3 linked regions of the Oryzias latipes genome follow. The main gene of each other region encodes a partner of the protein of the gene in region 3 in a complex. Links are inferred from orthologs where the notes say so. Each region holds a gene or a part of one and is shown on either strand. Other genes may lie near its edges. The genes, in order: cirbp, cpsf6 and tnpo3.

Region 1 (4,174 bases), on a different chromosome or scaffold from region 3:
AAAAAAAAATATTCTTGTATCATACAAAGAACAAAAAGTACAAAACTGTTCCCGCTTTAGACTAAACTTTTGGGTAAACGAAATTACATTTTGAATCACTTTAAACAGTCCATTTTACAGCACATTTATAATGCAGACGTTGAGCAGAGAGCACAGAAGATACCTTGGACAGACTGTAGCATGCTGCATTGTGCAACTTCATGAACAGCCGGCCACTTCGGATGTGTAGTTCACCAGTCAAAGGCATTCACTCTTTTGGGAAATGGAACAGAAAGGAGCCTTGGCTGAATGAAGGTTCTCTCAATAGGAAAAGGACTTCATCCATAAACCCCAAAACTATTTAAGCTTTTTCCTTACTCAATTTAAAACTCTTAAGGAGGTAGATGATTGACCAAGGAAAACTATGCCCCATTATACTTTATAATAAAAATTGAAAATTATATTAGAACACATGTAAAGTGTCAGACAAAAAAGGTCTACAGCAAAGCTGTCGCTGAGCTATCAGAAGCTCCCAAATTGAGAATGGCTCTGTGCTCTACCAAGGACAGATCGAATCAAAGCTGTAGGAAGTTGTCAAATTGAGCCAGGCAAGACTCGTTAACTGTTGTAACAGGTTTTGAGGAGCAAATTAACAACTACACTTAAGGTGGCGAACTACAAAACAGGTCAGCAAAATACATGGACAATTTTCTTGAGGAGAGCATCTTTCAAAAACAGCCAGCCAAGTGATGGTCTTGATTCAAGGAGGTGTTTACTCGTGTGAAGCTGGGGGAGCAGAAGTGGGCAAAAAGGTGAAGACACTGAAAGTTCCGACACTGGAGTTTCATTACATTCTTCATCCCACCAGGTAGTATACTAACCCTCCCTTTATTCTGTCAAAGAGGCACCGTCATAGGACAAGGCAACTTTAGAGGTGGCAGCATTATTTCGTTTTCTCCTCCATCCTCTTGTGCAAAGTTCGGAAATTCGTAATATGAGAGGGATTGAGGTCTTTTTTTGCAACAAGGGGCAGATTCGAGATCAAGTTGTACCAACTAAAGGTTGAGGACACCCCATCACGAGCTGCATTTATGACTAGGCATTAAACTTGTTCCTAAAAACGCTACAATCCTAATGATTATAGTCTTTTAGCCCCAAAGTGTGATTAAAGCTCAATGCTTACCATAGCTGTCATAGCCGTCCCTGTAAGACCCAGATCGGTCACCATATCCTCCCTGCCCCCTATATGAATGATAAAAATTATTAATTCACCTCATTATGCGATCATTCAACAATAAAAAATGATTAAACTTACCTATTGTCTCTGTAGCCGCTGGATGAGTATCCACCACTTCTGAATCCGCCACCGCTTCCACCAAAGCTCCTGTCTCCGCCTCCAAAGCTCCTGTCGCCATAACTTCTGTCTCCGTAGCCTCTGTCGCTGTTGTAGCCACCTATAAACATGAAAGAAACAACGGATTAAAATAGGGTTTACCGCACCAAATTTAAAGTGGAGCGAGGTTTTTATTCTTCAGCAGTTCTCACCCCTGGAGAAACCACGGCCGCCCCTACCCCTTGATCCGCTGAAGCGTCCACCGCGCGGGCCTGATGAAAATCCTCCTCTGGCGCGACCTCCCTTCCCTGCTTCGTCCACTCGGATCGCCCGGCCATCAAGCGTCTGGGGAACAAAATGCATGAAATTTTAATTTTATTTTTAAAACAAAACTTCTTAAGCAAGAAATAAATAATCGACAACATACCTTTCCGTTCATTGCGTCCAGCGCATCTTTAGCATCTTCAACATTGTCGTACTTCACAAAGCCGAAACCACGTGATCTTCCGGTCTCTTTGTCTCTGATCACATCGACTGAAAAGACCAAAAAAAAAAATTGTAAAAAAAAAATAACGACACTAGTGTTTATACAAATTTTAAAGCACCGTCAAATGTTTACCTTTTTCGATGGTTCCATATTTGCCAAAAGCGGCGGCAAGAGAGTCTTCGTTGGTCTCGAAGCTCAGACCTCCAATAAAAAGTTTGCCTTCGTCCGACATTTTAAGGGATAGCTGCATATAAAGAGAAACCAAATCGATTATTAAAAAAAGAATACATGAATAAATGAAAGGAAACATCGAGCATTAAGGGTTACTAGGGTGGGGCATTGTGAAAGTAGGTCAGCGAGACGACTCAAAATGGCGACCGCACGTTGCGCACTTTAGCGCCAAAGCTGGACCGCCTTAAATTTAACTTAAAATTTAAGTTGTTTTTATGAAAACATACCATAATACATTACTCACAATTAATATTGGCTATATGCACCTTAAACACAACGAAACGGTACAAATAGATGGTGCTGCGAAGGATTTAATTTTTTCACCCAGCGCCATTTTGTGGCGTCGAGCTCGTCTTCTTTGTTCAATGACCTACTTCGCCACGAGTCCGCAAAGCCTCTTTTCAAGGTTACATAAGTGCCCCACTTTGAGAAAATTAGGTCAACGACAGTTTAACCTACTATTACTCATACAATTACTGCAAAATATAGTTAGTTTTTTACGCATTTTAAGATTGAAAATCCTAAATTTAAAAATTATGATTTTCCTAAGACAAGTTAGATTGCGAAGAAAAACATTTAGGTCACTTGCTCTTTAAAGCAAACATAAGCACCATATTTCACCATTTCAACACAGTTTAAAAAAAGACTGCGATTACCTTTGTCCTTACAAGGGATGGAGAGAAAGACGCACGGTGCTGCAATGCAGATAAATGGCGGGGGAGGGAACGGTCCTTCGTATTTATACAAGCTGCATCTTCTTCTTCTATGGTGGTTTAGAGCTCTGAAATCCCGCATTGTAACTTTAAAGGCTAATACCGCCACCTACTGTTCAGGAAATTCTGGCGGTTGGACCCGGAAAACGACACCAAACAAAGAGATTTTAGAGACCGAAACTAAGCCCACGTGTTGTTCTGTAAGGAAAAAGGCATTTAACCCTCAAAAGAAAATACTGTTCGAAAAGCAATTTTAAACCCTTCTCTTGCCTACTAGTCAAAGTTAAAAGTCGTTTATTTTGTTGGGTTGTTGTTTTTGAATTTTACAATAAAGTTTGCTTCTTTTATAGTTTGCTAGTATGCTTCTTTTTGCTTTCATACATCTCTTAAGTGTTACGATCGTTTTTGTATTTTGAACAAAACATGTTTCTGCTGTAAGTTCGGCATGTGTTAAATACGTCTTTTTTTGCCTTTTCTGTTTAATTAAACCACATTTTTTGGAGAAAACGTGGGTCTCTTAAAGTTGTAAAATTTAAACCGTTTTTGTAGAATTTATTAGCAGAGCAATATATAACTTACTTCAAACTAATCTATTTTATAATCAAAAGGGAATTCGTGCCATTTTCTGATTGTTCCATTTTGGACATTGAGGATCACACTTGAAAGCAAAATTTTATATATCTATGAAAATAAAATTTTATTATGTGCCATTTTCAAAACTACAAGAATTTTAAAAGAAACAGTTTAAGAAAGCTAAATATTGAAAGCACATTTTTTCATATTCACACATGCATGTTTTATTCATATCCTCTGACTCCACCTAACAGATGAAGTTAGGTACTGAATAATTACATTAACTTTCCTGCATTCCTGAAGCTGAGAACATTTACAGAGATTCAAAATAATCTACTGCTGCATCCTAACCTGTGCCAGAGTGCACTTTTTGAGTTGGAAATAAGACAACAAAGGTTTATTTTTTCCAAACAGCAACCCAAATTTTAAAGGCTAAGAATTTTTTTCACTGAAAATGTTAAGGATAAAGATTTTCTAATTCAGAAAACAAACTTGAATCCTGAGGAACCATATGACAGTCATTTTTTTTTACTAGTATGATGCATTGGGGTTCTGTCCTCTTTATGCTTCTACCCTTCTTCTCCTCTCTATTCTTGATCATTATTCATAATTTAGTTCTCCATGCCTCTGTTTGGTGCAGTGCGATTCATGTACTGTCCTTCTTTCCCTCTCCCCTCCAGGTGAGTGGGAGTGCTTCCAGATTCCAGTTGGCTAATCCGTGCTCCTGTACCTGACCGTGTACCTTGTCTCTGGCTCGCCTCTACTACTGCTTCTACACCTGGCTGTGGATCCTGTCTCCGGCTCGACTCGCGCCCCTGACTGTCCCCCCAACTCCGTCTGGATGAATTTCGTCTGCTG
Region 2 (4,256 bases), about 9.4 Mb from region 3:
TCACATCATCGTACAAGTCAATCTGCTCGTGAACTGGATACTCCGATTCCTTTAAAAGAAAAATGAGTTAACACAGTTAAAGCAAAACATGTGGGGTTCAATTCCACAAGAACCTGAAACTGTGGCTCAACGTTTATAAAAACTGGGGATGTAGAAATGCATCTTTTAAGTGAAAGATATTATGGATGGATATTATTTTTAGTAATGTACAGGGGTGTAACGATTAATCAACGAATCGATTTATTTTCTTACGATTGAAACAGATGTATCTGTCTAATCTAAGGTAAGTTGCTTATCGAATTGGCAGTTTGCCACAACTGGGACGCAGAGGGAAAGACAGTGGCTGTGACAACATTAACCACTTGGATCTGTCGCCTCTTTGCATCTTTCGGGATTAAAAACAGTGACAATCTCTTCTCACAATGAGCTTTTGTCACCCCTATGGGGCCAAAAGGAAATGGTCCATTCAAGCAGCGCTGTTACTGTGACCCCAACCACTTTTATAGTTTCACATAGGGCTGCACGATATGAGGAAAACTCGCGATATGCGATATTGGTGATTAATATTGCGATAACGATATGATTCGCGGTATATAAACAAACAGCAAAACAACCAAAAACATAATTTCCATTTCACTGCAACAGTTTAAAAATTATACTCCAAATGACCCTTGTCGACATAGGAGGCAAACATCAAACATAAAAGGGCTCATCTGATTGATCAACAACGTAAATGGGTCCTTCCGATTGGTTAAATGCATAAAGGGATTTATTTCATTTGTTCAATATTTCAAGCTGCCACGAGATTGTTTTAGCACATTTAAGGTAACCATTTATTGCGATTTTCGCCGTCTTTTGTGGTATGCATATTGCACAGCTTAATGTCGCGATAACGATAAATTTGCGATATATTGTGCAGGCCTAGTTTCACACAATGTACGTTACTTTCTGCCTTTATGAACGGGTGATTTAAATGATTGTGCACTGCAGGCAAAAAAAACAAGTTTGCCACGGTGACGTAATGACCCTGTGTTTTGAAGCTGTTGGCGGTGAGATGACAGGTGGGGCAATACGATGAGCGCATGCATAAGCGGGAAACGCGCTAAAGGTTAATGAATGCACAGCCGGTTTTTTAATTATATTTAGGATGTCACAGCGACTGCCATTTATGAAGTTATAAGCTCAGTTTGTTGATAATACCAAATAAGGTCAGATTATACCCTGACTTTTTTATGTTCTGACAAATGTAAATGTGAAATGAGAAAAAGTTTTAAAATGAATAGTACAGCTGATCGCCACTCCATTTACTGGGGGTGAAAAAAAATGAAGAATGTCCAATTGTGGAAAATTTATATTACTATAATTAGCATTCTAAGGTCAAAGTAAAACATTTACTTTTACATGCAATAAAAACACCATGATAGATTTAATTTACATGACGTATACAGTATGATGTACCACAAATGCTGTACTTTTTGTTTCAAACTAACATAGTTTTAAGTTATTTAAGTTCACTTTTTAAGTTTGGCCTATTTTCCTTGTGCAATATTGTTATGAAAGAACGTCTTTGAGGTAATGCCAAAATGCCTGCTGTTGGGAATTAAATACATTTCTAGACATATTGAACTTTTTTACATTCTAAATTTCAAAATGGCACTTTATGTCACAAATGCTGTTGACCCCTAATCTATAGAAGTTTACTGCATATCACCAGACGCTTACTTAGCTCCCTGTTTTACTGGAAATTGCTGCAGCTATAATAAAACATGGAGACCAAATAGTGCTAGAGAGTTAGTCAACAAGAAGAAGCTGAAATAAAAGAAATTACACCAGAATTTAAAAGTAAAAATGGTTACTAGAAAAAGCAAATTACTATAATAAATTGATTTAAATTAATTAAATTCCAAAAGCATTTTTTTCTCTTTATTTTATGTCACGCTTTATGAGGAAAAAAAGAGTAGTAAACTTAAAGAAATGTTAAAAAAAACTAAAACATGACTAATAATTTTTAAGTCACTGGCTCTTAATTAAGTTTAGCTAAACAATTTTAATAAGAAACAAGGAAAAAAAACATTTATTTTTAAATGTTTAGCTCCGACAGTATAATACCATAACAAATTCTGTGCAAAACAAATGTCAGTAAGTTATGATTTTAGTATGCGGTCTAAAAAGGGGGGCGCGGTTTTTAATGTGCGCGCGCGCAAGAATAAAAAAAAACACCCACCATGCATGATGACCCAACCTGCTGCCAGAATGGAAGCCGTGTAACTCGTGTTTTCCCCTTTTGTTTTTATTTTTGACGTTTTTAAAAGTACACCAAGTTACATTTGATCCAAACTATAACCCACGTCCAATACAGTAAACCAATTAAACGTGTGAAGTTAACCAACACCAGCTAGCTTATCATGAAATGCGTGTTTGGTTAACAGCCTCCGTCGGGAGAAAAAAAAAAAAAGAAAGCACACACTGCGCGGCCTATACGCGCGCTCCACTGAAAAGGCTGCTAGACGCTTTGCTGATGGACAAAAATGTACATATTCTAAATAATAACCCACATCACATTTACCTCCACATGTGTACTACTGTTTGAATAAAAAATGCAGATCTATTGTACAGAAGTTTGCTATCTATGCTGCAACCAACGCAGCACACTGACTGACAGAGGCCTGTGTGTGTATTGCTAGTGGAGAAGCTAGCACGAGCATCAAATTACACCTATTTTTCCTATAACGCCGAAAAGACCATTGCAAAAATTAGAAAAAGAACTTCAAAGCACTGAACAAACTCGAGAATATTTTATTTTAATACCTGATTAAATTCCTCTTCTACGTCGGCGTAGATGTCGATATGATCCACACCGTCCGCCATTTTCCTCTGCTTCGTGCCTCCGTCCGCCTGGCGGTGCAGAGGATCGGAGCTACAAACAATAACTCCGGGAGATGCATCAGCGCCCCTGCTGGTCGTATTCACTAACTACAGCCTGCTCTGCTGGGAATGACGGATTCATTGATCATCTGCATTTCACTTTAAACATTCATACTACTGAATACGACATCTATAAAAAATATAAATTATTCTGTTATGTATTTTGTAATTACGCATTTAAAAGAGGAATTCAATATCTATTTATTTATTAATAAATGATTTTCACAACAATGGAAATGCAATTTCTAAAAGAACTCAAATAGATAGAATAGATCACGCTTTTTTCTACGTACAGCTGTGCACCTGCCATTACTGTTTTGTTGATTGAAAATTTCAGCAAATTTGACACAAATCGCTGGAAGAAATGGTCTTTTAATAAAAATTGTAACAATTCTTGACAACAAAGTTAAAAGTGAAAATAAAAAGCAAAGTTATGTGTAAAGAGAAGAGTGAAACATGATCTCCAACTATATAGTTTCCTGTGTATTAGGTATTGCTGTAATTATACTATAATATTTTTTTCAAATTAAAAATATAAATATTTTAAGACGCCCAAGTGGCTGGGATAGGCTCCAGCAGCCCCGTGACCCCGAAAGGGAATAAACGGTTAAGAAAATGAATTAATGAATGAATGAATATTTTAAGTACATTGACAAGACACAAAACATTCTATTTTGGTGTATTATTTGTAGACTCACATTTTACACTATATTAGACATTTTATCAATAATGTCATATAAATAAATTTAAATCTGGCTTTTGATCAACATTTGAATACTTACTCTGATGTAAAGGATACAATAATAACTATAACACATAGGATTTTACCTTAAAAAGTAATTTTGTAAAACTTTATTGGAAAATAAAGTTTTATTTTTTGAAATCATCTGTCATTCACAATCCAATTTGTTGAAACAACCACTGCTATCATACTATATCTTTATAAATTTACTGCTCATTTATATGAAACTATAAGTTTATAAATAATAGGTGAATAAAAGGAGACAAACAGAAATGACACACAGTCAAAGTAAATGTAATAAAAACAACTTTGTGGATCTTTTATTTTATAAATAATGGCTTTAATCCATGTAATACTTTCATAAGAACAATTTACAGGTTTGTTTTACAAAGGAAAAAAACAGAACAAAAGAACAAAATCACATTCCAAGTTTTAGCTCCTCCTAAAAAAAATCATAAACATTTCATATATATTAGATTTTACCTCTGTCAATAACACAACCAAAGACAACAACAACAAAAATAATAATTTCAGTCAGACCATTTTAAATGTTTTAGTTAAAAAGAATATAAAAAAGGTAACAAATATA
Region 3 (4,200 bases):
CACAGTTCCTGTTCCCATGGAGGGGGGGGGGGGTATTTTTACATTTTTCGGTCTTATATAACTGCTATTCGTTATTTTACTTTATTTTATTTCCCAACTAATGACTAATCCGCAATGATCCAGTATAAACTGAGGGAAGTGACTTTAAAAAAGTAACAAACAAACTAGAAGAAATGGTCGGCTCCCACACTTCACTAGTCAAGTGGACCGGCGGAGCGCGGACTTACAGCTTTGTGTTTGAGTGGAAGGGGGGGGGGGGGGGGGGGGGTGCTTTGTTACATGAGCGCTATGTGGGAGATTTAGAACTGCGATCCGTCCCGCAGCTCTAGGTGAACGGCCTACCGAACTCAGAACCGGGTCTAAAAGTGTGTGTCTGAGCAGAGGATCGTGAGCACACACACAGCGCTTTGGGGCGGTGTGAGCTTCAAAGCAGAAATGTCGCTCAGTCCTTAGAAATCGTTCAAACAATCACGTGGATTTGTGTTTCCAGTCGTGTCCCGACTAAATAAAGGCTGATGTTATTCCCACATGTTTACATGCAGCCAAGATGCAGATTGCAGCGCCACCCAAAGCTATTGTTGTTAGCCCGTGTTAGCATACTGCTAACTCTGGCTTCGTTCAGAAAAAGCCCTGACCACACGGATTAAAATTCAAATGATGAGCGAACAGGTGTTTCATAGTAACCGTAACATTATTAAAAGCACGTTTAGAAGATCATCTCGTATTTTACCGAGCTGACATGTCAATGTAACTAGCCGCTCAGCGCTGTTTAACATTGTTTTGTATTGAATTGTTACATTCAATAAAGTTTGAGATAAAAATAGCCGCTCGGCGGAACTGATATCCGCTTCCGGTTTTTCAAACCCTACTGCGCATGTGCGAATGATTTATTCCGACTGAAAGTGTGACCTTAGTGAACGTTTTTATATTCTGAAAACATTTTTCTGGGCCCATGTACACGGTTGGATTCTAATCCGACCATTGATCCCATCAAGATATTTTGTACATGTAACCGGGGCTTATGGTGTCGACTCGCAACGTGGCGGGGGCGTGGCATCACGATGGTGTCTCTCCATCGGGATGTCAGTCACCCATCACGATGGACGATGATATGGTCCATCGGCACAACCCTAGATGTCAACAGTTCTGGGTTCCTCACAGACAACTGTCCAGTAAATCCCCGCTTAATGAGGAGTTCTATGCTGTGTGCTTCTACAGGGCTACAGAACCTGCAGAACTAGAACGTCCTCCGATAGACTTGTCAGAAAAACTGAGGCCATGTCAGAATTTGATCCAGAAGGAACCGAGACTCGGTCTAGGACGGTCCTAATAACCGCACTTCCCTGGAATCAGATTCAGTGAATCCTGATGACTTCACCTCACTTTGGAGGTTTTATGCAGAACCTTACGTTTTTCCACAAACTGAGGTTTGCAGAGGAGATACAGAGACAGGAAACAGGAAGTGACCTCACACGAGGAGACAGGCGAGTGTTTCCATCCAGAACCAGAGGTTCTGCAGAGCTGCAGGTGCCCTTACCTGTGTGACGATGATGGGCGACAGGTCTTTGAGGTTCTGGATGTGGGTCAGGAGAGAATCCCGTAGTGCATTGTGGGTTTCTGGTGGAAGCTCGTAGAAGCACATCTGGATCTTCATCTTCATGGTCTGAGCAGCAAAGTAACAGGACTCAACGTCCTGTCTGAGCTGCAGCAGCTGGTCTGAAATCTCCCAGGCGTACATCTGCAGGACAGGAAGTGATGTCACTGAGTGGTCCATCACTCTGCTCCCAACAGAACCCATAAGCAGTAAAAAGCAACATCTATTTATATCAGAACCAGCTCAAATTGGGCCTTCTGGTGCTGAGCAGGAACCCAACCAACACCCGGACCTGTTCTGGTCTGAGCTGAGCTTCTGACCAAGGTTCTTCTGTCACCTGGACTGACAAGCCCAGTCCATAATGTCCCCCTGGCTGTCTGGGTCCAGGTCTGCGTGGGCTTCTGGATCTGAGCAGCTTTTAAAACTCTGTTGCCCCCAGACCCAAACATCTGCCTCCTCCCCCCCATCAGCCAGCGGAGCCTGGCGTCGGCTCGGTTTCTGTTTGGGTCCGACAGACTCGGCTGGCTTAGGGCGGAGCGGGGGCACGCGCACCTGAGCTGTCAGTGATCGCACGCATGCGCCCGACCGTCAGCAGTGACGTGGACAGAGGCAGCCGCTTCGGGATCTGCGCAGCTTCAACAGGAAGTCGGTCCAGCAGCTACATTAGCCCGGCTAACAGCGCCGGGCCGCTGGGGCTCAGACCCCCCATATAGACCCCCCCATGTTCTCCAAAACACCACAGAACTCGAGAGGAGGCGCGCGGGACAAGTTCTGTCCGCGCCCATGAGCCCCAAACCCAAAGGGGACCGGCGCGGTTCGGCTCGAGCCCATTCATCCCGTTAGCTTAGCAAGAGGACCGAAGAGGAAGCTCCTCTGAGACTGCGCATTAGCGCACCTGTCCGAGCAGGTGATCGGTCCAAACCCACACCGGCCCCACCAACACCCCGCCGGCCCGGCCCAACGCTGCGCTCTCACCGATCTCTGCAGCTCCCCGAGCCACACCGAGGCTCGCTCCTTCCCCGCTGGGTCCGGGTCGTTGTACAGGGCCTGGACCGCCTGGTAGACCAGAGCCAGGTTCGGTTTCCCACCCTCCATCGCGGCTCAGAGGGACGATACCACTTCACAGACGGTTCGGAGAGAGTTCTACGCTGTCCGGGTTCCGACCGCCATCTCGCACAGACTTCGGGCGTGCGGCATTGATCGTACTCCTGCGGAAACTCGAGCGGGAACTTTAGTTCCGCGCTGATTTCAGTGTGACACAGAAGGGTCCGTCTGCGCCTGCGCGCCGCCTGCCTCCGTCTGCCCGCTCTTTTCCTTCTCGGGAACCGAACCGTTCCGAACCGTTCTAGACCAATGAAGAAGAACCGGGACAGCCACGAGAATAGACCCTGAACTGTGCAGACCCGGACCTCGCCGTTTGTGACGTAGTGATTGCGTCAGCGGAAGTGTAAAGATGACCCAAAAAAGGTGTTTTGAGAGTTCTGGACGTGGGAAGTGATCACTTTCTGCTTAATATGTTTCTCAACCATTTCAGGACTTCTGTGACTCCGATTTATCGACAGCAAACAGATTCTGGATCATTTCTGAAAGAAAATCAGAAATGTTCAGAGGAAACATGACAACTTTAAAGAGAGGTCGGAGGATGATGGAGGGATTACGGAGAAGCGTTCACGAATCTACCGTCTTTGTGGAGATAAACCCTGTTCTGGTTCTGGTTCTGGTTCAACTCGGCCTTAATACCTGTAAAGGCTGGACGTCAGTCAGTAGACGTGATTTCTAGAGCTGTTCACAGAACAGAAGTCACAAGATGAGACACAGGGTGAAAAAACACCAGAGACTAAACATGGACCATGGAGACATTCCTCTGAAGCCAAATAAAACCGTTGCAATGCAAAATAAAACGTTTCCTGTTGACTTTGACAAGAATGCACAGAGTCCAGAGCAGCAGCCCGCGAGGTTCTGTCTCCTCTGGTCCAGAACCGTTTTCCTGGAACCATCAACAGGTTCTGATCCACAGACCTCAGTGCACCAGATGGTCTGTAGGGGGCGATCAGGTCACAGACACACGGAGCAGTTTGACCATGGAGGCCCTAAAAGTCAACACCTAGACTCTATACTGAAACCGGTAAACAACCGGGAGCCGATGGAGAGCTTTTAGGATCGGGGGGGTGGGATTGGTTCTCTTAGTGCGGGTCAGGATCCTCTCAGCAGAGTTCTGGATCAGCTGCAGACGAGACAGCTCCTTCTGATTCAGACAGGAAAACAGAGTGTCACAGAAGTCTAACCGTGTAGAAACAAAGGCATGAATAAGAAGTTCCAGATCTTCATATGACACTGAGCTTAGAAATGTTCTTCGTCTGGAGGAAACAGTTCTGGATCAGCTGTTTGGACTGAAATGACCCCCAGGTTTCTGAGGCTGGGTTTGATTGACAGCCTGGCCAGGAGAACCCAAGAGCTGCTTCCTCCCTGGTGTGGCATCATCAGGGGCAATAACTGTTTCCTCTACTCAAAGTGCTGCTCTTATTGATAACATCTTCACCAATAACACAGAATACACTCACATGAGTGGACTAATGTGTGACGTAAATGTCATTTACCAGGTTTTC

The links.
Region 1: the proteins of tnpo3 (region 3) and cirbp are in contact, whole or in part, in a crystal structure (PDB 8CMK), measured with the Homo sapiens proteins. The link is inferred for Oryzias latipes from reciprocal best matches to the Homo sapiens genes TNPO3 and CIRBP. Residues at the interface, in NP_036602.1 of Homo sapiens: Arg620, Glu660, Arg661, Cys663, Arg664, Arg667, Phe668, Arg671, Ser698, Cys699, Tyr702, Ser705, Ile706, Asp709, Glu710, Asp747, Asp750, Asp751, Arg754, Arg758; in NP_001271.1 of Homo sapiens: Tyr160, Arg161, Ser163, Tyr164, Asp165, Ser166, Tyr167, Ala168.
Region 2: the proteins of tnpo3 (region 3) and cpsf6 are in contact, whole or in part, in a crystal structure (PDB 6GX9), measured with the Homo sapiens proteins. The link is inferred for Oryzias latipes from reciprocal best matches to the Homo sapiens genes TNPO3 and CPSF6. Residues at the interface, in NP_036602.1 of Homo sapiens: Arg620, Asn656, Arg657, Glu660, Arg661, Arg664, Arg667, Phe668, Arg671, Ser698, Cys699, Tyr702, Ile706, Asp709, Asp747, Asp750, Asp751, Arg754, Arg758, Gln761, Cys793, Arg797; in NP_008938.2 of Homo sapiens: Tyr521, Arg522, Glu523, Arg524, Ser525, Glu527, Arg528.

Annotation. Positions count from the first base shown.
Region 1 is NC_019875.2:22,782,485-22,786,658, reverse strand, and holds the start of cirbp (cold-inducible RNA-binding protein), read right to left. Parts: upstream 2,813-4,174; 5' UTR 2,687-2,812; intron 2,044-2,686; 5' UTR 2,032-2,043; coding exon 1,932-2,031; intron 1,847-1,931; coding exon 1,740-1,846; intron 1,658-1,739; coding exon 1,525-1,657; intron 1,434-1,524; coding exon 1,295-1,433; intron 1,222-1,294; coding exon 1,163-1,221; intron 766-1,162; coding exon 752-765; 3' UTR 253-751; coding exon of another isoform or gene 248-252; 3' UTR 1-247. UniProt on the Homo sapiens protein: Cold-inducible mRNA binding protein that plays a protective role in the genotoxic stress response by stabilizing transcripts of genes involved in cell survival. Acts as a translational activator.
Region 2 is NC_019881.2:14,391,993-14,396,248, forward strand, and holds the start of cpsf6 (cleavage and polyadenylation specificity factor subunit 6), read right to left. Parts: upstream 2,920-4,256; 5' UTR 2,869-2,919; coding exon 2,809-2,868; intron 50-2,808; coding exon 1-49. UniProt on the Homo sapiens protein: Component of the cleavage factor Im (CFIm) complex that functions as an activator of the pre-mRNA 3'-end cleavage and polyadenylation processing required for the maturation of pre-mRNA into functional mRNAs.
Region 3 is NC_019881.2:23,831,651-23,835,850, reverse strand, and holds the start of tnpo3 (transportin-3), read right to left. Parts: upstream 2,805-4,200; 5' UTR 2,690-2,804; coding exon 2,570-2,689; intron 1,739-2,569; coding exon 1,538-1,738; intron 1-1,537. UniProt on the Homo sapiens protein: Importin, which transports target proteins into the nucleus. Specifically mediates the nuclear import of splicing factor serine/arginine (SR) proteins, such as RBM4, SFRS1 and SFRS2, by recognizing phosphorylated SR domains.